2 linked regions of the Callithrix jacchus genome follow. The main gene of each other region encodes a partner of the protein of the gene in region 2 in a complex. Links are inferred from orthologs where the notes say so. Each region holds a gene or a part of one and is shown on either strand. Other genes may lie near its edges. The genes, in order: HOXB2 and SATB1.

Evidence for each region.
Region 1: SATB1 (region 2) and HOXB2 share a complex: the UniProt entries of both Homo sapiens proteins name them as parts of the nuclear protein complex. The link is inferred for Callithrix jacchus from reciprocal best matches to the Homo sapiens genes SATB1 and HOXB2.

The regions. Positions count from the first base shown.
Region 1 is NC_133506.1:117,726,940-117,738,782, forward strand, and holds HOXB2 (homeobox protein Hox-B2), read left to right. Parts: upstream 1-5,779; 5' UTR 5,780-5,976; coding exon 5,977-6,364; intron 6,365-7,123; coding exon 7,124-7,806; 3' UTR 7,807-10,046; downstream 10,047-11,843. Other genes in the region: HOXB3 (homeobox protein Hox-B3), read left to right, coding at 1-605. UniProt on the Homo sapiens protein: Sequence-specific transcription factor which is part of a developmental regulatory system that provides cells with specific positional identities on the anterior-posterior axis.
Region 2 is NC_133518.1:57,106,788-57,118,530, reverse strand, and holds part of SATB1 (DNA-binding protein SATB1), read left to right. Parts: coding exon 1-175; intron 176-3,798; coding exon 3,799-3,975; intron 3,976-4,746; coding exon 4,747-4,873; intron 4,874-5,643; coding exon 5,644-5,767; intron 5,768-11,743. UniProt on the Homo sapiens protein: Crucial silencing factor contributing to the initiation of X inactivation mediated by Xist RNA that occurs during embryogenesis and in lymphoma.

The sequences.
Region 1 (11,843 bases), on a different chromosome or scaffold from region 2:
AGATCAAGATCTGGTTCCAGAACCGGCGCATGAAGTACAAGAAGGACCAGAAGGCCAAGGGGCTGGCCTCCTCGTCAGGGGGCCCCTCTCCCGCCGGCAGCCCCCCTCAGGCCATGCAGTCCACCGCCGGCTTCATGAACGCCTTACACTCCATGACCCCCAGCTACGAGAGTCCTTCCCCGCCCGCCTTCGGCAAAGCCCACCAGAATGCCTACGCGCTGCCCTCCAACTACCAGCCCCCTCTCAAAGGCTGTGGCGCCCCGCAGAAGTACCCCCCGACCCCGGCGCCCGAGTATGAGCCGCACATCCTCCAAGCCAACGGGGGCGCCTACGGGACGCCCACCATGCAGGGCAGTCCGGTGTATGTGGGCGGGGGTGGCTACGCAGATCCGCTGCCGCCCCCTGCCGGCCCCTCCCTCTATGGCCTCAACCACCTTTCCCATCACCCTTCCGGGAACCTGGACTACAACGGGGCGCCCCCTATGGCCCCCAGCCAGCACCACGGACCCTGCGACCCCCACCCTACCTACACAGACCTCTCCTCTCACCATGCGCCTCCTCCTCAGGGTAGAATCCAAGAAGCACCCAAATTAACACACCTGTGATGGGAGAGGGCAGACGAGGGTTAGGGGATGGGGAGGAAGAGGGAGACTGTGGAGCTCTGTGGGGGCAGTCTGGACGTCTGAAAGAGAGGCCAGGGAGGTGGTAGCCAGGCTTCCTGGGCAGAACCAGCCTGAAGCTCCTTCCCCTCCCCCTGGCCTGAGAGGTTGCTTTTAAGTCCTCCACCCCTTGTTCCATCTGCCTGCTAACCCATCGGAAAGGATTCCACAGCAGATTGGAGATGACCCCAGCAACCCCAGGGCTCCAGCACCAAGCTGGAATTCCACGCCCGGGAGTGGGGTAGAGGAAGACGAGATAGGACGAGGCAGAGAAGCACATTTTAAAAACCAGACAAGATGGCTAGGCCATCACCACCCAACGGACTTACCTTACATCTTTGTAGGTAATTCCCCCGAAATCTTGATTTTTTTTTCCTCAATTCTCCTTAAAAAAAATAAGAAAACACATTTCAAACCCAAAGGGCACAAAGCACGTTCCCTTTCAACTATCCCCCATCCTCAAATTTGTTCCCATTTATTTGAGGTTTTTTGAGGTACCTACCCTCTTCATTTCCAGCCCCAGGTTTTTCTGCTCTAAGACATTCATGTCTATACATCCCACCCTCATCAATTACAGCTGTTAGAGGGCTCAGGGATGGTGAGAGATCCTGAAAGAGCTGCTCATATTATAAATTATATATATATTTTTAAGGAAAAGTGTGGAGGCCAGGGCAGGCAGGTTGTTAGGACTGAAGGCTTGCCTATTCTGCCTCCATCTCAGCTCCAACTCCATCCCCCTCTCTCCACAGAAAGCAGTTGGTGACACGAGGTTCTACACTTTTCTTTTCTTCTGTTGCTCTCTTGACTTAACGTGAAAACAGGGTATATTTGAACAAACTGTCCCAGGCAGGGGCTGCTGCAGGGCCTGTATGCCTTGCTCAGCCTCCTGACAGGACACTTTTGTTGCACTTAGAGTTTACATTTTAATGGATATAAAAACAACTGTGAGAGATGTCTGGGCCTGCAGAAGTCCGCATCGCTCAAAAAAGTGTGTGTTCTAGTGAACATTTTCATATATATTTATTGGTTATAGCCTGTTAAAATATTTTCTTTTTTGTATTATTTATCCCCCTACATTATGTATTTATATGAGGGAAAAATTGAAAAAAAATTGTACTTTTTTAGTATTTACTTGTTATAAAGGACGTTGTGTTTCCTGTCATGTAAAACCAGCTATTTTAGTTATTCTTGTACTCTAGAAAAGAGCTGTAGATTTATGTTAAACTCGTACTTATGAACAATTGTAATTAGTTCTAAAAGGCATGAACTCAGCTCCTAATTGTCGCTGTATAGTCCTGAATTTGTAGAACTAGAGTTAATTCCCTCTTGGAACTTTCTTTGTTCTTCGGTAGTTACTTTTTTCCTTACCTAAAAGGGTTGTCTGTCAAACAATTCTTGAATAAACTTTGTGTTATCAATTTTATCTTGTCCTGCTGGTCCAATTTAGATAGCAGAGCAAGGCTGCTGACTGCCAAATTTCCCCCAAGGGAAGAAGAAGGACACTGAAGACCCTTCCCTGGCCTTTTTGTCCACTGCCCAGGTTTCTATCTCCCCCTTGATATGTATCAGATTTAAATACCACTTTCTCACTCATAAGAGCCTGGAACATTTTGCCAACTTCTTTAGCTGTGGTTTAAGTAATAAGTTGGGAGGTAAGGGGGGATTCTTTGGTGCTCTCTGTAGGTTTTTCTGTTTGGCCTCTGTGCCTCCCGGTTTTTCATTCATTGACATTTCGTCTGTTAGCTCTTTTGGCCACAACCTCCATGCACCCCTCACCCCTTCCCACTACCAATAGGAAAATCTGGCCGATTACGGTTTCTTCCACGAAACCTAAACTTCACAGTCCTCTTCCGGAGCTACAAAGAAGTTGTCACGTGACCCGAAGCCCAACCACCATTGGGTCTAAAATGAAAACAAAGAAAAATGATTAATCTAAAAAAAAAATCTGAGGCCTAGACTTCTCAGGTCAAACTTTAGAACTAAGTAAAATTAAATCACTAAATAAAACTCAAGGCGGAGGGAGAGGAGGCACGTTTGATTTCCCCTGCCAGAGAAAGGGGAGAGGAGGGTGGAAGCTGTTGGATCCAAGCGTAAATAAAATGGTCCCCAGGCTAATGTGCGGCTCTGTTTCCACCATCCTTGGGAAAACTTCATTTCTTAGTCGTGGTTCCATAAAAGTTTTATCACATTGGAGTGAGAATAGAGAGGGTCTGTCAAAGATGAAATGTCACCGCCGAGTCGCTGGAGCCGATAAGAGCGAGAAGACAGGGCGGCTGAAATATGGAGCTAATTCGTTGAAAGAGAAGCGATGGCTGCTTGCTGAAGAGTTGCATAATTCTAATTGTAAGCGATGTGCCCGCATTGCTTAATTAGGAGCATATATTTGGTGGTAGTGATGGGGGTGGGGGGGAATGAGAATCGTTCCAGGCCCTGCCTTAAAGCGAGGGCTGATTTTCATTTTTATGTTGCATCCTGGCAGTCCAAGGTTAGTAATTATAGTCTTTATGCAACAATAAATAACAATAAAAAAGCAACCTGAATTCTACACCCTCCCCCTTCCCCACCACCAAGTAGGATTTTAACTGGACTCGGCTCACCCAAGCAGCAAGCAATTTAGCACTGGGTCAGGCTATAATTTAAAGGCATAAGAGCGTGCAAAGTTTGGGATCAAATAACGCTCAAGGGTTTTTCTTTCTTTCTCTCGTCTTCCCTGAATAACATGTTCTGAATGATATAACTAGATGAAGCACTATGTTTGGCTCTGGGGTTGTGTTAGGTTGCTTATTTATCTAGCAGGAAAGAGACAGGCCAAGAGAGAGAATTTAGCTTAAGTTTGAAAAACAGAGCTTTGGCTCGAAGCTGGAATTGAAAACAAGAAAAATAAGAAGCAACTTGGCTTGGTGTTCCCTATCCTTCTCTTTGGGAGATTCCAGGCGCTCAGCGAAAGCAGCCAAAGACTTGGGTAAAATATCCGTGCTGTAAAATTCACAGCAGGACAGGGGGGCGGAGGAGGGATGTCTCTTAGAAGGAGGGTTCTCTTGGCCCCTTTAACACCCAAGTTTTCGTTCGCTAATCTGGCCATAAAATCTGTCAGTGAGGGTTAGAGAGAGCTGTATTTCCTGCCGGGACAGTCTCTACCCGAGTCGCCCAAGATAAGCTCTCGATCCTTCAGCCAGCTGGAGAAGTTGGTGCTAAACTCGCAGAGGTGATCAAGGGGTGGCCACAGGGAGAACCCTCTCTCAGGCCTCTCTGAATGACTTCCCGACAGCTACTATTTGGATTCTTCCATGCCCACCCCCATCCACACCTCCAAACGGCAAAAATTGTTTTCTTTGGAGCCGAGTTGCACACTATTATCGCTGGCCACTTTGCCCGGGTTGCAGCAGCTCTCTCTCTCTCTCAGTTCAGAGCCCTCCTGCTCCTGCCTCCCACTGTCCCTGCAGCCCCCACCTCCAATTCCCCTTTCTCTATCCTCCTCTCCCCCACCCTCATTCTACTCAGAATTCTCTGCCGGTCTTTTTAAAATACTCACCACCACCCACGCAGATACAACATTGACAGAAAAATTTCTAGTTCCAGCTCCGGGCTCGGTTGCCATTTCTTTGCTAACCAGCCTTCTCTTCCTGGCTGGGCAGCAGAGAGACAGGAGGGGGAGGGGAGGCCAGAGCCGTGAGAGTTCTCCAGGCAAACTTTCCATCCAACTTAGCGCCTTCCCTCTGTCCCTATTTCCCATCTGTTTCCCAGCTCTCCCAGAATCACCTTTCTCTTTTGCACCCCCACCCCCACCCCCAGGGCTTTTTAAGGGATGTGAAATTTTGGCTGTTCCCTTTGCTTTCCCAAAGAACCAAATTCTTTGATGCAATAGGAGGGAGCTGTCAGAGGGCTAAGATTGATCGCCTCATCTCCTCTCTGTCCCTCTGACCCACGTATTTAAAAATCTTCCCCCAGATCGACTTTTCATTTTCTGTTTTTGAGGCCCAGTTTCTTGTGCCCTCTCCCTATAGTAAATTACAACAGTGTAAACTTTAGACTATCTTGGTCTTCTCAAAATACAATTTAAAAACATTTTCCCCTAGGAGCCAGAAATGAAGTATCATTTCAGTGGTCATTATTTCCACTCCCACCATCTTCAGGGAATTCTTCCTTGTCAGGAATTTTTTTTTTTAACTAGCACAATGGCAAAAATGGGAGGGAAAGTCTCTTTGTCCTAGGGGAAAGCTCCCCACCACACCAGGCACACACATATGCTGACCTGAACTTTGAGAGTGCTCTAAGTTAAATCAGTGGCTACCTCAGTTCTTGTTTATGCCCCTGGATATGGATACAGATACAAGCTTGAGGCTGGAGTGGGTACATGCCCATCTTAGACTCTGCCTGTTTTGGGTGGGGGGGTGTCACAAAGAAGCATGGATGCCTCAAAATGAGGAAAGCAGGGGGACATAAGAGGCAGAGGCAGTGCTGCAAACACTGGGCAGAGAAGAGAAGAACCTAGGCCACACAGCTATGGAGGCTAGAGGCCCAAAAATGCCTCTCATGCTCCATCTCACTTCCATGTGTCAGCCTGGGAGTTCCTGTCCGTTTTCTAAGATTTAACTGTTGCTTTTGGAGGGTGACATGGGGATAGTGGTGCTGATGATTGTAAATCTCTTTGTTATTTGCACCTTAACACTGACCTTTTTCAGAGTGGAAGCCTCTTTCAACTCCCTCTTCCTCCAACGGGGAGATCCTCACTCATCTTGGGGAAGGGGAGAAGAGAAAAGGATGCTGCTGGCCATGTAAAGAAAGCCTTAATTTACTCTATGAAAATAGTTAGAAAAGAGGAAGATTTCTCCCTTAGATTCTCTTCCTTTCCAGGCTTCCGAAACCTCCTAACCTCCGGAGGATTGAGAAAGAGGTTCCCCTAGCTTTTCTGGAGAAAGGGAGGCACTGGGGAGAGAGCGTGTGAGGCACTGGTGGAGGAATGGGGCTCATGGTGTCCACGTCGTGGACCTCTGGAGTTTTTGAATCAATTAAAGCAAATAATGCTCTCTGTTTTCCACCAGGCCCAGCCGAGCGATTGGCGGAGGCCGGCCCCGTGACCACGAATTCCCTGTAATTTCGCCGGAGTCCTGGGTTTAATAGAGAGAGTCCCCATACGCTTGTATTTATCAGCAATATACAATTATAAAGGCCCAAAATTTAAAAAAAAAGAGACCGAAATCTCCCCCTCCCAAAATCGCTCCATTACATAAATCTGGGGGGGGCGGGAGGGGGGGTCCCTTCCGATCCTCCCTCCTGACGCCCCCCCCAGCAGCCCCCTCCCCCACCATTGAAAGCCATGAATTTTGAATTTGAGAGGGAGATTGGGTTTATAAACAGCCAGCCGTCGCTCGCCGAGTGTCTGACTTCCTTCCCCGCTGTCTTGGAGACATTTCAAACTTCATCAATCAAGGAGTCGACATTAATTCCTCCTCCTCCTCCTTTCGAGCAAACCTTCCCCAGCCTCCAGTCCGGCGCCTCCACCCTTCAGAGACCCAGGAGCCAAAAGCGAGCCGAAGATGGGCCTGCTCTGCCGCCGCCACCGCTGCCGCTCCCCACTGCCCCCCCAGCTCCCGAGTTCCCTTGGATGAAAGAGAAGAAATCCGCCAAGAAACCCAGCCAATTCGCCACGTCTCCTTCCCCGGCCGCCTCCGCAGTCCCGGCCTCCCGGGTCGGATCGCCTGCAGGTCAGTAAGTGTGGTGGGGGTGGGGTGAGGGGGCAGCTAGAAGAGGGGGAGAAACAGCAGTAGGAGGAGGTTAAAAAAAAAAAAAAGGTGGCGAGCCTGCTGGGGTTCCGTGCCCCGTCCATTACTGCTGGGGACGGGAAGCGGAAAATCTTCGCTGGGGTTCAGGCCTGGCCGCTGCCAGGGTCTTTTTTCTCTTCCTGCGCTGATTTTGGACGCTGGTTGGGGAAACGTCTTTTCTCTGCTAAAAGAAAATGATTCTATTGAGGTTTTCACCTGTATCTATGTAGGTGAATGAGTGTGTTGCTGGGATTGCCTCTAAAAGCAGGAAAAGATTCGGTCCTTTCTGCCCCAACACTAGGAGAAGAGGAAGAATTCAGAGCTAGGGAGGAAGAGGGGTGAAAAACAATCTTTATGACCCTCGCTCCGGTTGAGTTGGAAAGTTCCGAATTGAGGGGTCCACTGGGAGGGCTGAGGAGGCGGAATCTGAGGTTCTGGCGGGAAAGGGAGCCGCTCTCCACCCCATGCTTGGCCCCGGAGCGGCTCTGAATGCTTTGCCCTGAACCGGGCCGGGGCTGTCGACTAGTGAGGGAGAGAAGGGAACCCAAAAGCAGTGAAAGCGAGCCGCTTTGGGGTGGGGGGCGGGGGTGGGGTGGCGAGGAAAGGGAGAGGTGATACTGGTTTTGGCGGATGGGGTAGTCCTTAGCTGAGGTTGGGCTGAGTACACGGCGCGCTCTGACGCCCAGCCTGTTTTTTCTACAGATGGCCTGGGACTGCCAGAGGCTGGTGGCGGCGGGGCGCGCAGGCTGCGCACGGCTTACACCAATACTCAGCTGCTGGAACTGGAGAAGGAATTTCACTTTAATAAGTACCTGTGCCGGCCACGCCGCGTCGAAATCGCGGCCTTGCTGGACCTCACCGAAAGGCAGGTTAAAGTCTGGTTCCAGAACCGGCGCATGAAGCACAAGCGGCAGACGCAGCACCGAGAGCCGCCCGATGGGGAGCCTGCCTGTCCCGGCGCCCTAGAGGACACTGGCGACCCTGCTGAGGAGCCCGCGGTCAGCCCGGGCGGCCCCTCCGCCTCGCGGACGGCTCGGGAAGCCTGTCCTCACCCGCCGGAGGTGGTGCCGGGGACCCTGAGCGCCGCGGACCCCCGGCCTTTAGCCGCTCGCTTAGAGGGCACGGGCGCGCCGAGCCCCGGCTGCGTGCTGCGCGGGTCGGGCGGCCAGGAGCCGGGGCCATTGCCAGAAGACGTCTTCACACAGCGCCAGGATTCGCCTTTCCTTCCCGACCTCAACTTCTTCGCGGCCGACTCCTGTCTCCAGCTGTCCGGAGGCCTCTCCCCTAGCCTACAGGGTTCTCTCGACAGCCCGGTCCCCTTTACAGAGGAAGATCTGGACTTCTTCACCAGCACGCTCTGTGCCATCGACCTGCAGTTTCCCTAACCGGTTTCCTCCTCCCGGCCCTTTCGACCCCCGCGCTCCTTGGCAGTCTGGAAAAATTGAGCCTCTCCCACCCCCAGTCGCATAGACTTTTGTGTTTTGTTAAAATTCAGGTATTACTGAATTAGCGTTTAATCCACTCCCCTTCTTCTTCTAAAATATTGGGCGCTCGGGCATCTTTTAAAATTCAAACAAAAATTCCGTTTGGTAGACTCCTTCCAATGAAATCTCAGGAATAATTAAACTCTAGGGGGACTTTCTTAAAAATAACTAGAGGAACCTATTTTCCTCTTTTTGTGTTTTAGACTGTAGATTATTTATTAAAATTCTTTAATAATAGGAAAAGGGGAAAGTATTTATTGTACATTATTTTCATAGATTAAATAAATGTCTTTATAATACGAAAACGAGTGTTTCTGTTGGGACCTAACCCCTTTCCCCCTCCCGGCCCCAAGGCCCATCCTCACTCCTCCAGGACCTGTGAGAAGCTGATTAGGTTCAGCGGTCTATTGGCAGCAAAGCCTCCTGGACCGGCGAAGTCCGGGTGGTACAAAGGTGACCCGATGGATGGCCACTTCGCCCATGGCTCCGGCCAGAGTCAGGAGTTTGCAGGAAGCTCAGTCACCTCCGTGCACCTCAACAGAGGGCCTCTGGTTTCAAGCGGGTGGTCTTGGGGCCTCTGCTTAGAAATAAAGATGGGCGGGTGTACAGCGAACAGAAGACAGTGCAAGGAGAGGAGGCCTGGGGACAGGCTTCGGGGTCCTAGCGGGGGCGCAGAAGTTTCCTGGAATTGGGAAGGATCCCAGGGGCTTCATCGCTTCTTAGGACCAAAGCCGCTGTAGGGCCTTTTATTGAACTCAAGAAGCCTAGGGACACGAAGCCTGGGGCTTGAGCTCTTTGGGAGCTGTAGGTGGCTCTCCAAGGAGTGGAGTGGGGTCGGGGATTTTCTCGGGAAGCAGGGCCCCGCACCCAGAGATGGTAACTGGCCTCCAGTGGGCAAGAAAAGTGGCCAGCTGAGAAATGTGGCGCTGCCGGGACACCCATGCACTCTGGGACTGCTGGGGTTTGGGGGAGCATACGAGAAGCAGCCCGGCGACAAGCCCAGGGAGGCCCGGTACCGTCGCTAGGCATTGGGCCTGCAGGGTGAGAAGGAGGAGCGAGGAGAGCGGGAGGGAGACAGGGAAGCAAAGATGATGCTCAAAATGGCGCTGGGCCGGGCGGCGGAGTTGGCGGGGGATGAGGGAAGAGGCTGCGGCCGCCATGACAGCCGCTGCGGGAGGCGCCATACCAGCGGGGTCTGCCCCCGCCCCCGCGTCCTCCCAGCCGGATCTTCCAGACGCCGGGGAGTAAGGGGCGCCTGGGAGTCCCACCTTCGTTTTTGTTTGTTTGTTTGATTTTTTTAATTTTTAAAGTGAGCCCAACGGACGCTGAGGACGCGAGATGGAAGAAGAGTCCGGGTGTTTGTGGGAAAGGAAGGAGAGCGGCGGGTCTGCGGGCCCGGGTGTGCCTCAACGAGTCTCACTTTCGATCCTTCGCTGTGGGATTTGAAGCCAGGCCAGAGCTCTCTCTAGATGCAGACCCACCTGTCTTGACCAACAACTTCATTTTCCATATCAACACCACGTCCTGTCTATCTCCCGCCGCACCCTGCCTGCTTCCTTGTAAACCCGGTAAGCGGGAAGCAAGGATCGATCTCCCCACCTCCTGGTTCGTTCTGGGAAGGTGGAGATTTAAAGGACCCTGGAAAGCCATCCATCCTCCCTAGGTTTATCCAATATTTCTCCCGCTCAGAAACAGACACTGCGGGGCTATCTCTCCGGCAGATGCTGCTCTTCTCTAAAATCAGTTTATTTCCGGGGCCCCCAGACTTTCCCCTGGACCAGCAGGAGCGGGATTTACAGTACCAGAGGCAGCAATCGTCAGGTTAAGCCAGGAGTCAACATAGATTGTGACACAGAGGACTAGACAGACCCTTTGCATATTTTTAAATGGGTCCCTCAGCATGGGAAGTACACACATCTTATTTAGCTGGAACTTAATCCCTTAAACTGTCTTAATACAGAATTCATCTCGTGTATTAAATAATCTTACATCATGTTAAATTGCACTTATGTCTCTCATAAATAAATTAATATAGAACAATTAGATGTGTTATAATAATATCGTGTATCTTAGTTTATTTTCCCTCATAAAATATATAGGTATAAAATAAATTCAATATATTAAAGTAATAATACACAGCTTATTGGCTTGTGTGTTTATTTTCCCCATAAATAAGTGAATATACAATATATTAAACCACACTATACATCTCATTGGGCTGTGTGTTTATTTCTCTATAAAATATGCCCACAGGCAGTGTTTAAAAATCTTAAAAATCACAGCACACAAGCCATCTATCTCTACACTAGCAAAATGAACAGATATTTCAGCTGGGGCGTTGATTTCTGTGGACAGTTGAACTAGATAATTTGGTCTAATTAAAAATGCTCAAGGCCAGGCGCGGTGGCTCAAGCCTGCAATCCCAGCACTTTGGGAGGCCGAGGCGGGTGGATCACGAGGTCAAGAGATGGAGACCATCCTGGTCAACATGGTGAAACCCCGTCTCTATTAAAAATACAAAAAATTAGCTGGGCATGGTGGCGCGTGCCTGTAATCCCAGCTACTCAGGAGGCTGAGGCAGGAGAATTGCTTGAACCCAGGAGGTGGAGGTAGCGGTGAGCCGAGATCTCGCCATTGCACTCCAGCCTGGGTAACAAGAGCGAAACTCCGTCTCAAAAAAAAAAAAAAAAAAAGTGCTCTTGGCTGAGCTCAGTGGCTCAAGACTGTAATCTCAGCACTTTGGGAGGCTGAGGCAGGTGGATCACGAGATCAAGAGATCGAGACCATCGGGGCCAACATGGTGAAACCCTGTCTCTACTAAAAATACAAAAATTAGCTGGGTGTGGTGGCGGGCGCCTGTATTCCTAGCTACTCCGGAGGCTGAGGCAAATCGCTTGAACCTGGGAGGTGAGGTTGCAGTGAGAGTCGAGATCATACCACTGCACTCCAGCCTGGTGACAGAGTGAGACTCTGTGTCAAAGAAGAAGAAGAAGAAGAAGAAGAAGAAAGAAGAAGAAGAAGAAGAAGAAGAAGAAGAAGAAGAAGAAGAAGAAGAAGAAGGAGGAGAAAGAAGGAGGAGGAGGAGGAGGAGGAGGAGGAGGAGGAGGAGGAGGAGGAGGAGGAGAAAAGAAAAAAATTGCTCTTGCAGCTAGCTATAGCAGGTTGTTACAAAGATCAAGAATACCAGAAGGATCTTGCTAATGGCCTACCTTCCAGTTTCTTTGGTCAAAAGGAGAGCACCCTTCCTCAATGCCAAAAAATGTAAAGTCCACTCTGCAGGAGAGAATTCCTATTAGGGGCCTCTGATGCACCAGTTCTCTGGAGCCTAACTGCTCCGTGGACCAGCAGCATCAGCACTACCTGTGAGCTACCCAGAATCTTAGGCCCCTGAATCAGACCCACTGAATCAGAATTTACAGTTTAGCAGCTCCCCAGTGATTTCTATACACTTAAAATTTGAAAAGTACTGCTAGATCATAGTGTCACCTGCTTTCTGCCTTCCTTCATGCTTCAGAATTTTTGACTCATTTTACCTGGCCCCTGCCTTCCAATCCTCCCAACCAAAACCAGTAGCTCAAATTGCAGGGAATCTTTGTTCCTGCCTGGGGCTGTATCAGTCCTGATTCCTTCCTGCCAAAGTAGTGGGAAGCCAACCAGAGGCTCAATCTACCTGTTTAGATTCAGGTACTTTGGTCATCCCAGGGGTGAGAGTTCTTAGTCCAGGTATTGCCTTTGGCTGATTATTGGAGAGGAATTGAAACTCTTTTTACAGGAAACACTCAAGTCTTGCTCGCTCTCTCCTTTCCAGATTTATGAAAAGCACCATCTCTGATGATACCACAGCAGAACAAAGAGGCAATGCATTTGCAGAAGAAAGTGACTTCCCTCTTCAACTTCCCCACCCAATTCAGATTCAAGGGAATGCTGTAATCTAGGAT
Region 2 (11,743 bases):
CATTCAGAAATGTCTAACAATGTGAGTGATCCGAAGGGTCCACCAGCCAAGATTGCCCGCCTGGAGCAGAACGGGAGCCCACTAGGAAGAGGAAGGCTTGGGAGTACAGGTGCAAAAATGCAGGGAGTGCCTTTAAAACATTCGGGCCATCTGATGAAAACCAACCTTAGGAAAGGTAAATACTCTCAAGCCAAATCCTGGAAAGCTGAAAGCCCTGGTGTCTACACAAGGCCACATTGTGTGGGGGTGGAGTGGCAGAACATGTTTTGTATACTCTGCCTTTATTCTCTTTCTGATCTTAAATTAGTTACATTCTGGGTCCTTAGTATCAATCATGTTAGAAAGTATAGGCTCCATGCTTGGGTGGAGCATTTTACTGTAGTCTGGAATCATTGGACATTTCAGATTCTAAGGACTGAATTAAATATAATGGTCTTAGTTTACACAGGGGTCCATTCACAAGGTGTTACAGTAGAGGATTGTAGGCGGCTGTTGCTTTAAACTAACCTGATTAAGAATAAAACACTTAGGTGGTTTGAGAGCTACCCTAGCTTCTTTCTAAGATTTTTGGTTGTAAGGCAGTTTCAGAGATCTTAAAAGTCTTACACAGAAGTTTGTCATGTTATTTTTCGTGGCTTATTTTCTTCAGAGAAAATTCATTAGTATTGAAAAATCTGATGATTCTGGTCTTTAATTTTTGTTTTAATTGGGTATGCTTGATGAAGAAAGAACAGATTTAGACAAGTTTAAAGGGGAAGATGTGTAACTGTGTGACTCTTTTCTATCAATATTAAATTGATGCGGTTTAACAACTTTGACTGTGTTTAACAGTGTTGTTCCTGTAAAGCAGTGCCTCTCCCGGGTGTAATGCCTGTGCCTCATAAGGAGCTTCATTCTGTGTCTAAATAACATGTATAGGAATCAGATTTTCCTTATAATAGCTAAGCAATGGATTAAAAATGCTATATTTTAGCAACCAAGAATATTAAGTAGCTAAAGTTAGAAGGCAGAGGAATTTCATTGTGTTTGATGCATAACATTTATCATACAATCATTTATTTTTTCCTTGGTTTGGCGAAAACAAAGAATATATTGATCCTGAAATGAACAGACACAGCAGTCCGTATTGTTAGATCTTTATCTATTAAAAATGGAAAAACAGCACTTCAGCAAATTCTTTGGCCTCTACTCATGATTACCCTATTTATTGATTGTTTGCCAAGAATGTATGCATCTTAAGAAAGCCAGGGTAAGAGCATTAAAAATATAATTTATTACGGCTTTTCAAACAGAGTACATTAATATTGTACTGTGAAGCACTGGGGCTCTATAAAAAAGACTTTCTGACGCCTGCAAACATGTAAGTTCCATAAATTCCTAAATAGGAGATTTCAGCTGTCTCTGGTATTATGTGATATTTGCACAGCAAACTTTAATGCCAGGACAGTTTTAGACAAGGATTCTACAGACTTCACTGCTCCTTATGGCAGACGTGCTGTTTACACAGGCTCATAAACCTTCAGCAAAAGCTTCTAAGACTGCCTTCAGGTTTAAATCATGTGGTATTTTTAGCATTCAGCAGTGACCAGTGCTCTCCCCTTTAAATGCTGGAAGGTTATGAAGTCGCTGTAGTTGGAACTCTCACCGAACACTTGCACGAATAATCAGACAGTTCAGAGAAGGCTTATGTTCAGCGTTATTCCCAGGAACAGGAGGGTAACCGCAACAGTTTGCTAGAAGATCTGTAATTAGATGATACTCTTGTTACTTTATAGACATCTTTATTATTTTAGGGTACCTCTAAACATAATCGATAAAATCCAAAATAAATCCAATATATTTCAATAGTTTGAAAACCCTGCAGTTCATAGGTCTAAGGAAAAGCATATTGTAGAATACATCTGTTTAATCCTTCAAAAGGAAGAATCAATATGTGTGTTTTTGTTGTACTTACTCGACTCCTTGAAGATATCAGGACAGGAGGAGGAAGAACTAAAAGTACAGTAAATTCACTTCCTGCTCAAATGCTTTTTTGTTTTGTTTTTTGGATGTATGCTAAAAATGCAGTTTAATTGTAGAAGGGCCTCAGATACTTCAAATAACAAAATTGCTAAAGCCTTTTCATGGATTTTTATTAATATTTCCATCTTATTTTTCTTGTGCATGGTTTCTGTCTGACAGGTGCTAGATGAAAATTATGGCTGAGATGAGAAAGCACTACTAAGAAAAAGGGATTGAATGTTTTTATTTGTTTAGGCGATTTTGTCAAAATATCTTCAAGCCAAGGAAGAAATCACCAGTTTGCGTATTGCTATTTTTGCTGTGGTCTCCCCAAGTTGTCTTCTGATCCCTGACGGGTTCTCTCGCTGGTATAAAACAGCTGAATGAATGACAAAAATATTGGCAAGCTCTGCAGCTTGTTTTTCATGCTTATCCTATTGGTACCTCTGAATGAGTTTGTGAGTTTTCCTAAGTAAACCTAAAGGGGTTTATTTGTCAGAGCTAGAATCTCTTGTGAACAGTTCACTAAAGCTTTGGTGAAGACTCACATATAGAAAGATGTAGCTGTTTTATTGCCGGCTTTTGTTCAACAGAAACAGCAAATAGAGAATCTCTAAAGAGCCTCTCTGGTGTCAGTAGGAAATCCTGATTTTTAGCTACGGTTGCTGTGTACTACATATCTTCAGAAGTTGGTAGGATTCTGTGAGTCCAGAGGACAGAGCTTACAGAGGCATTAGTATTGTAGGACTAATTGTGGATCCTGGGTGCCCTGTTAAAGTAACCCTTGTCATCATTTATGCTAAAGATGATACCCTTCTGGCAGTTTGCCACAGTACAATTCAGATGCATCTGCTTTTAACCCTTTTCCGTTATCATTGGAAGTCTGACAGTGAGCTGCATAAACACCTTGAGTACTACAGCATTCCGTAATATCAATTTCTAGAAGAAGCATCTTGCTGATAGTGAGTGCTGTGGCTTGTGCTTATTAATCATCTGGCTACTGAGTTACTATTGGATTAAAATATATAAAGAGAGAGCACACCAAATCTATGCAGATTCCTTTATCTTAGTATGTCCTGATAAGGTCAGTTTCCTTTTCTCTCTCTAATTTTTATTTTATTTACTATAACAAAGATTGTTGATTTTAAAGACTTACGGATACTGTGTTACCTTTTTAGTTAGGTAGGTTAAATGAGTGTTCATAAAAGCAAATGGTATTTACGTGTATTATGCACATATTGAAATTGTATATTATGAGCACCAGTTTGGTTAAGTACTTTGTGTGGAACCAGTTAGAGTTAATATCTAAAAAAGGAAGAAAATGAAAATTTCATGGTTGAAGATAATTTGTTTGGACACAAACAGGAAAAGTTTATTATTAACAAAATCATATAGGCAGTAGGAATATAGGGTCTTCCGAAGGTAACTAGTGAGTTATGTTTGCATACTGTATACTCATAGCAAACTAGAGAAGACACATTTATTTCTCTTTCATCACCATTATTATTTGATCAGAAAGGTAATTCTGCATTTATTGCTTTTGGAAAATGCATTGTTAATTTAAAGGCCAACTTACCTTAGGACCAAGTTCACATTCTACTCAAATATTTCTCTTACAACTTTAAATAATGCGGGAATGTATATATTTGCATGCATGTGCTTGTAGTTCTGTACCCAGTCTGCATTGGAAGCACAGTGAATCTCTTGTGATTATTTTCATGGCTAATTTTTCCTCCCCCAAGCTGTATTTCTGAAGATTATTGGTTTTCCATCTCTTTTTCTTCATCTTTTTGATAGGAACCATGCTACCGGTTTTCTGTGTGGTGGAACATTATGAAAATGCCATTGAATATGATTGCAAGGAGGAGCATGCAGAATTTGTGTTGGTGAGAAAGGATATGCTTTTCAACCAGCTGATAGAAATGGCACTGCTGTCTCTAGGTTATTCACATAGCTCTGCTGCCCAAGCCAAAGGTAAATAATGTGTATGTGGGGTTGGAAAAATTGCTTGGCATCCTTTGTTTACCTTACAGAGAAAGCACTGAATATTTTTATTCAAAGAACTGTAGCCTGTGTATTACATTGGTTCCGTATAGGCTGTGGCTTTAAAAAATTGGCTTAATTCAGTTTGGTTTAGTTAACACACATTTTGCTCATGTGGAATGTCGAGGTAGATTTTTTTTTTAAATTACTTCAGCTGAATCATTAGTATGCTTATTGACCTTAATAATCTGCTCCACTGAGGACCCACAAGGAAGTGAGGAGCGTATTTGAGCAGATGGACTGTTGAGAGTCAATTTGCATTTATGACTGAATATCTAGTTCTGTTTCTTTTATTCTGTTTCTGATGGTTTTATGGGCTGTAAAGTATTTTTCAATGCTGATTCCCACTGCAATAGAGAATCTTATCTAAATCGTAAAGCCATTTAGAACTGGTTCAGCTATGTCTTATTAGAACTTCCTGTAAGTTAGGAAAATGTGGCCTTATGCATAGGTTTTATTGATGGGGTTTTATTTCCAAAATAATAAACAACCCTATAGTCATTTACATAATTTTACAATTTGGAAAGCTAAGCTGTGAATATTTGCATTGACCTGCCTTTTAGAAGGAAGGGAATCATTCAAACAGAAATAACAGTATTGCTTGTGGTAGGGGTATCAGAAAAAAGAAAAAGATCACCCTTCTACTAGATTTGGTATCTGAGGGTAAAATATTTCGTGACATATTCTCTTTATCTGAAATAGGGCTAATCCAGGTTGGAAAATGGAATCCAGTTCCACTGTCTTACGTGACAGATGCCCCTGATGCTACAGTAGCAGATATGCTTCAAGATGTGTATCATGTGGTCACATTGAAAATTCAGTTACACAGGTGAGTCAAGACAGCAAATCTAGGGTGAAACGTTCTTCTTACCTGGTCATTTTGAAATGAAGCATCTCTCTCTGGTCAACCTTCATTTTTTTTTTTTTTTCTACTCTGTGTTTCAGAAAGGTTAATACAGATTGATTTTGTTACCCTATCCTTCTGTCCTTTTTTCTAACTTCAGTGTATAATTTAAAAGCACCTCCCCCGCAACACACAAAATTTGTAGGTTTGTGCAGGTTATCAAAAGACAAGACTTTTTACGTTTAGTCAATTAAACAATGCATTTCAAGAAGGCATTTTACATAAAGTTTACTTAAGAAAAAAATATTTTTGCATATCATGAACAGTGCCATCTGTGTACATTTTGTGAAAGACTGTCGTATTCACTATTACCACAATCTTATTTATTTATTTTTTTACGATTTTAATTCATATGAACAGAGTAATGAAAGGAAATCGGTTAATACGTTAAAGCTTTTCACGATGGCTCATGAGAAAGCAGTACACCTTAAATTGTCTTCCCAAGTGCATCAGAGCAGGAAGGTAGAAGTAACATGAAAAAATAGCCACCACAGGCAGCTGATGTATAATTCATGCATCGATACAGCAGATGTGTTGTATAAAGTAATTAACTAATCGGAACAATCAGGAGACCGAGAGCAATCTCCAGATGCATCTGTTTGATGCGCAAAATGAAATCTGTCTGTCTTAAAGGAATGTTCTGCAGCGGGATGCAATCTTGTAATAATCCCCTTTCTAATCTATGTCTCAAATAGTTGCCCCAAACTAGAAGACTTGCCTCCTGAACAATGGTCGCACACCACAGTGAGGAATGCTCTGAAGGACTTACTGAAAGATATGAATCAGAGTTCGTTGGCCAAGGAGTGCCCCCTTTCACAGGTACTTAGCATAGCATGTAATAAATAATAAGACATCATGGGCAACCCTGATTTGAGGTTTGATGGAGCTCCCTAGTTTAAAGCAACTGGTATCTGAAGCACGAATCTGCCAAAAATGCAAAGTGACTTGACCACTGATGACCTTTTAAAATATGCCTGATTCATTCTGAACAGAGCCTATACGCTTTTTATCCCTTGGGGAAAAGAGCCAAAGGACTGTTTACAGGAAAAACAGTTCCGTGGAAGACTCTGCTGGCTAGTTTTTAGATTTGTCTTCTTTTTGAATGCTGTGAGCATGATGGCTACATTCTTCTCAATGACCTTATTTATTAAGAAAGAGTCGAGGTGGTACTACTCCCCCAAAGCTTCAGTGAGTGGGAATGGCAGTGTTAGTGATAATGCGCAGAACTTCACCATGCCATCTGAAAAAAATAACTGTACGGTTCTTGGATACTTTACTCATTACCAAAAAATCCAAAGTGTTTCAGTAAAAATAATTATGAGAATAATTACCCGTAACTAAAAGTTGAATAGTTGTTAATTCATTCAGATTTTGTGACCAATTTTGTGGCTTTGGTTTACTTCTTTTCTGTTTTTTAAGTGGAATCTTCTTTTTTCCCCTCTTAGTTGCCTGTCATACCATCAGGGATTTTTGAAATGAAATAAAGATTTTAAAATTATTTTCCTTGATTTCTTTAGAAAAAAATTGGTGGAGGGCAGCTAAAACTCTAGGTAGGAACTGCCTACCTGCTTATAAACAGAAAATCAAACATCATTTTTGACGAAACTCAGCTGATTTCAAATACAAAAGAAAAAGGATGCCGTGAATCTGCTGTTAAGGGCTGCTTGTGGGGTCACCATGTAAATGTGTTACAGTCATCCCCTCAGTATCCAAATCCATTTTAAGGCCATTCCATGATACAGGATGATTGGAATCTTGGTCCACCTAAATTTTTGCCAAATATTTAATGTTTTCTTTTAATTTGAGTTTTAATTCTGAATATTAGTCTCAGTCATTTGAACTTGAACTGTATGACTGCTGTATACATTTCTGCAACTGAGACATCTCAAAGTGTATTTCTGCTATATTCTGAGTAGTAGATAATCTCAAAATGTATTTCTAATGTGAGGCTCATGACGATTATTGGGTACCTTTGACAGGAAACTTATGGGCTTTGTGCTTCTGTTTCATAAAAATTCCATGCATTTCAGATTTGCTAACTTACGGGCTAACATTTGTACTTTGATATTTGCTGGAAATTTTAGAAATAAAACAAATGAATTAAGTTTATAATGAATAGCTTTCTATATTATTCTGAGGTAAGCTATAGCCACAGGTTACATATTCTCTGTATTGCTAAGTGTCCATTTCTTGCAATTTAGAGTATACTTTTTTTTTTTTTTTGTCATTTCAGCTAATCTCCTATCTTCCCTCTCTCTCCCTTGGAATAGAGAGGATATGAATTTATAACCATCAAATAAAAGTAATTAAATTAATTAAACACAGTTAAATCAATAGGATTATATAATAAAAGCAGGGTGACTCTTCAGTGGCTTCATTTCGCAGACAACTCCAGATAACATGTTACGTGGTTGCTAACACTTGAAAATTTGAAATGATCTAGAAATAAACTTTCAAAAAAACTCAGTTAAAACATAATATAAATACCTAGTACAGAAATCGCATGTGTCTTTATGTTACTAAATGTCCCATTGATCTTGGAAGCACATTTAGACAAAGACTTAAGGCATTTACTCTGAGCTGAAGAAGATTTTAGTACAAATATTTGTTGATACAATTAGTGAGAACTAATTGTTAAATGACATAACATTCAGCCAGTGAACTCCACCTCACTATAACTTATAAATAGAATTTTGAATTTACTTAGTGTTATCATGGAAAATGAATTGAATACAGACAATTATAACATTAAGCAGAATGACAAAATGTAATTCAGGACTTGGTTTTGGAGTCATACATTGGTGAATTTCTGTAGAGAGAGGTTTTCAGATACATGGCCTCCTGTGGCTGGATACCTCACTGTAATCATTAAGTGATGGAACTAGGCTGCAATTTCAACATCAGTTATAATTATAGTATTCTTTTCCTTAAAAATATCTTCTAAAAATTCAGCATAGTTTAGCAGTGAAAGCAAATATTTGAAATTAATTTAATATTTAACAGTATGAAAAAATGTAAATTGTTCTCTAAATGAGGGAGTTATTTTATATTTTGCTGAATCATCTTCTATTTTTCTATGAATCTGATACTCTAGTCAGAATGTTTTCAATAAACTATTTTCTGTTTGCTTCTTGATTATGGTTTTCTGCCTAGAGTTATTAAAATGAGAATGCAAGTTTCCTAAAGCCTATGTCCAAAATATATGCCGAGTTTGACAAAACTACTCTTTTTTCTGTGGTTAAGATTTGGTGATAAAGACGTTATGGTGAAGAATGCCTGGCAAATAAATATGACCTCGGTCTTGTACAAAATGGGACCTAACACCAAGAAATGCCAAGTGTTAAGGACTTTTTTCCCCTATGGAGTGTTGATTCATTCATGCAAGAGAACCTTTAGCATGCGATTCAACATACACATTTTACCATAGAGTAAGGGTTTTATTTTGTTGAATATGATAAAGTGTTCCAGTAGCAAGTATGGTTACAGGGTCCTTCAATATTAAACTTAGTAAAAAGTTTACCCTCCTAGACCCTGCTCTGTTAGAGGAATTTACTAATTTAAACTTCGTATAAATTCCTCTAATAGAGCAGGGTCTAGGAGGAGTGGAACTGGGAAGCTACCAGGATTTTGCCTGGGGTGTTGGATAAGCCCTGCCTCCAATGCTCTTAGGATGGTTGTCTATTACTTGCTAAGCAAATGTCCATTTGGACTTGGGTTCTCAGAACCAGAAGGGATTATCCTTCCTAGGCTCTTCCCCTTTGACAATTGAAGCAGCCAGTATCCCTGGAGATTAAAGTCACGGTGCTAGTTAATGACTGACACACAAGTCATGACTTGCTAAGCTTATGTCCTTGGCTTATGATAAATTTTAAAAGTGTTGATTTAGCTACTCAGGAGGCTGAGGCAGAAGAATTACTTGAACCTGGGAGGCAGAGGTTGTGTGGGAGCTGAGATTTGCTACTGCACTCCAGCCTGGTGACAGAGCGAGACTCCATCTCAAAAAAAAAAAAAAAAAAAAAAAAAAGCAACTTACTTTTGGGTACAATAATGTTTTCTTTGATCATATTTGTAAGGTTTTCTCCAGCTGCAGAAATTCCATAAATGGGTTTGGCTTGATTTACAACTCATACCTTTATTTCTGTTATGACTTTCTTATCGTAAATCTGCCCAAATAGATTGACACTCATTTATTAAGTTCTTTGTACCACATGTTTTTTTTATTATTTTTGTAAAATGTTCTAAGACATAAGAAATGCTTAGCTCATTATAGGTCTGAGGATGGATGTTTTGTTGTCACTTTGTTTTTTTCGGTGGATGTGGTTAGTTACATTCTGAATTGCAGCTAAGGAGGAGAAAATAAACTCTGATTTGGGGACAAGAAACCCTGTAATCATAAAACTTTTAGGATATGGATTTGGGAGGAAAATTGGGAATTTAAAAAGTGAACAATTTGATTTATAATAAAACATTACCTTTTGATGCTTATTTTCCCTGGAGTTTTAGAAATTGCATTTAAACACCAGATAAATATGTACGCATTCTGATACAGGGGTAAATTCATTTTGTTAAGTAAAAGGTCAGCTATTAATTTCTACCAGCCTAGTGTCTTCCTTCTAAAAATGTTTAGGTCAAATCTTTTGTGGTGGTTTTAATCTGATTTGCTCATTTTTGCCTCTCCTCTGTCACCACACACATGGGTATACACAGACACACACACATTTACCACACCTTTCACGTTTTTAAGGCATTGGATTATTTTCTATCTTATTTCTCACCTGGAAAAGATATCTTTAAGCCAAGTCATATAAAGTGGGTGAGAACTGTCATTTTTATTTTCAAGTAGTAAAATATATACAAAATACATTTAAATTTGAACATTCCATTTAGAAGTAATATTGAGAAAGATGATTTTCCAATTTTCCTTTTTTCACAGCATCCAAGGATCTCAAATAAGCTGGACAATTTATTTATTAATGGCAAAATAGATTTTAAAAAGAAACTACCCTGTGCTCCTGAAGCTTAGCTTCAGTACTACCCTCCTGAAATGTGACAGTCATTTCCGTAAGAATTGAATACACTTACATGTTTAGTTGATTTTCAGTCTGTATTATAAATGATACTGGAGCAACAATTAGAAAATCTATCATGTTATAGAAAAGTGTTTTTAATAAACTACTTTGTTTCACAGTTTTTGGACTGAAATTACACGTTTCTTAAAAGTAATCACATTCTTAAGAGAATAGCCAGCATCAGTATTCATATGTTGCATTTCACGTGAGAGTCTAACCTATGAAATTTGTTTACATACTCATATATTCAAAGGTATGTATCGACAGTCGGCTGTATGCCAGGCATTCTATTTCCTATGTAGTAATAAGGATATGACATCTTAATCGTTGAAATAATAGTATTACACTTTTAATTTAGTGCTTTTGATGTATCGAGAGTGCCTTTGGTCCCGCTAAGTAGGATATAGTCATATATTCCCATTTTTAAATGAGGAACCTGAGGTGCAGAATGTTGACTTGAATGTCTGTGGCTACCTCACTGGTGAAGCGGAAGGGTAAGACTTCATACCCAGAGCCCGTGAGCTTCACCAAGTACCCTTTTTCATCACATACCACAAACAAAGGAATTGTAAAAAAGACAAAATGAAAGCCTCTCAGATGAATTTGATAGGTTTTATAATATGCTTTGATTTCTCTAAAGTACTGATAACTACTTGTAGTTTTCCACGTGTATTTATTCTCATTACTGAAAATTTTCTTTAATGTGTTTTGGTTTTCTGTCTTTGATTTTTTGTTTATATATTGTCTTGTTTTAAAAGTACATTGCTATCATTTCAAGCCCTCAATCACGGATAATCCAGACAGGAACTGACTTTTGGGATAACTTGGCATTTGGGATGTTCCAGAAAATTTGCCAGAATAGTTCTGTGTAGTTACTTCTCTTTTCTATTCTTTCATATCCTCAAGACCAGTAGGCATAATTATGCTAATAGCACTTTGTTTTGAACCCCAAGGTAACATTAGGCATTTTCATTACAAATTGTGGACAGTTGAATTTCTTGGGTCTGTTCGAAAAATACAGATTTCAGTCATCGGACTGGCCTGATCTGATGGACAAGGCTATCACGAGCAGCTCCATTTTAAAATAAAAAGAATCCTGTTTGAGATGTACTGGAACGATTTTGTATTTGCCCCTTTCCAGTATAAAATTATAATCTTATGTTTAAACACCACGTATTTTTAAGAAAAGCTCTAAAGAGAATCTTCTTTACTTTTTAAAATTATAAAACTTTCCCCAGTTTTTACGGAACTGACCGTGGGAATCTTCGATTATAATGTCTGCTTTGCCAGGTAGTCAGTGCTTGATACTAATTGGATCTTATGACCACTTTTCAGCAATTGTAGTACTGTAATGGTGATATCCATAAAGGAAATGGTAAACCTGTCTTACATGGGTAGTTGTGTGAATTGCAAAACTTGTACCAGATAATTTTTTTGCCTCCTCTTTTGAACCAGTCATGACATCATTCTTTTTTCAACTTACTGAGATGTCTGCTCTGTGTTAATATTATAATATGTATAATCTACAATAGAATTGTCCTCTAAATTGCAAGTTTTCCTTTTTGAATCTAATATATCAGGCTCACTTTTAGCTGACTTAGATACATAAGGATTTTATTGTAGCTTGATGTTAGCTCTCTGTAACCTTTCAGATATATTAATCAGAAAAGCCAAACTTAATAAAGCATCTAACTTAAAATGGATTGATCTCAGATATTTTATAGCC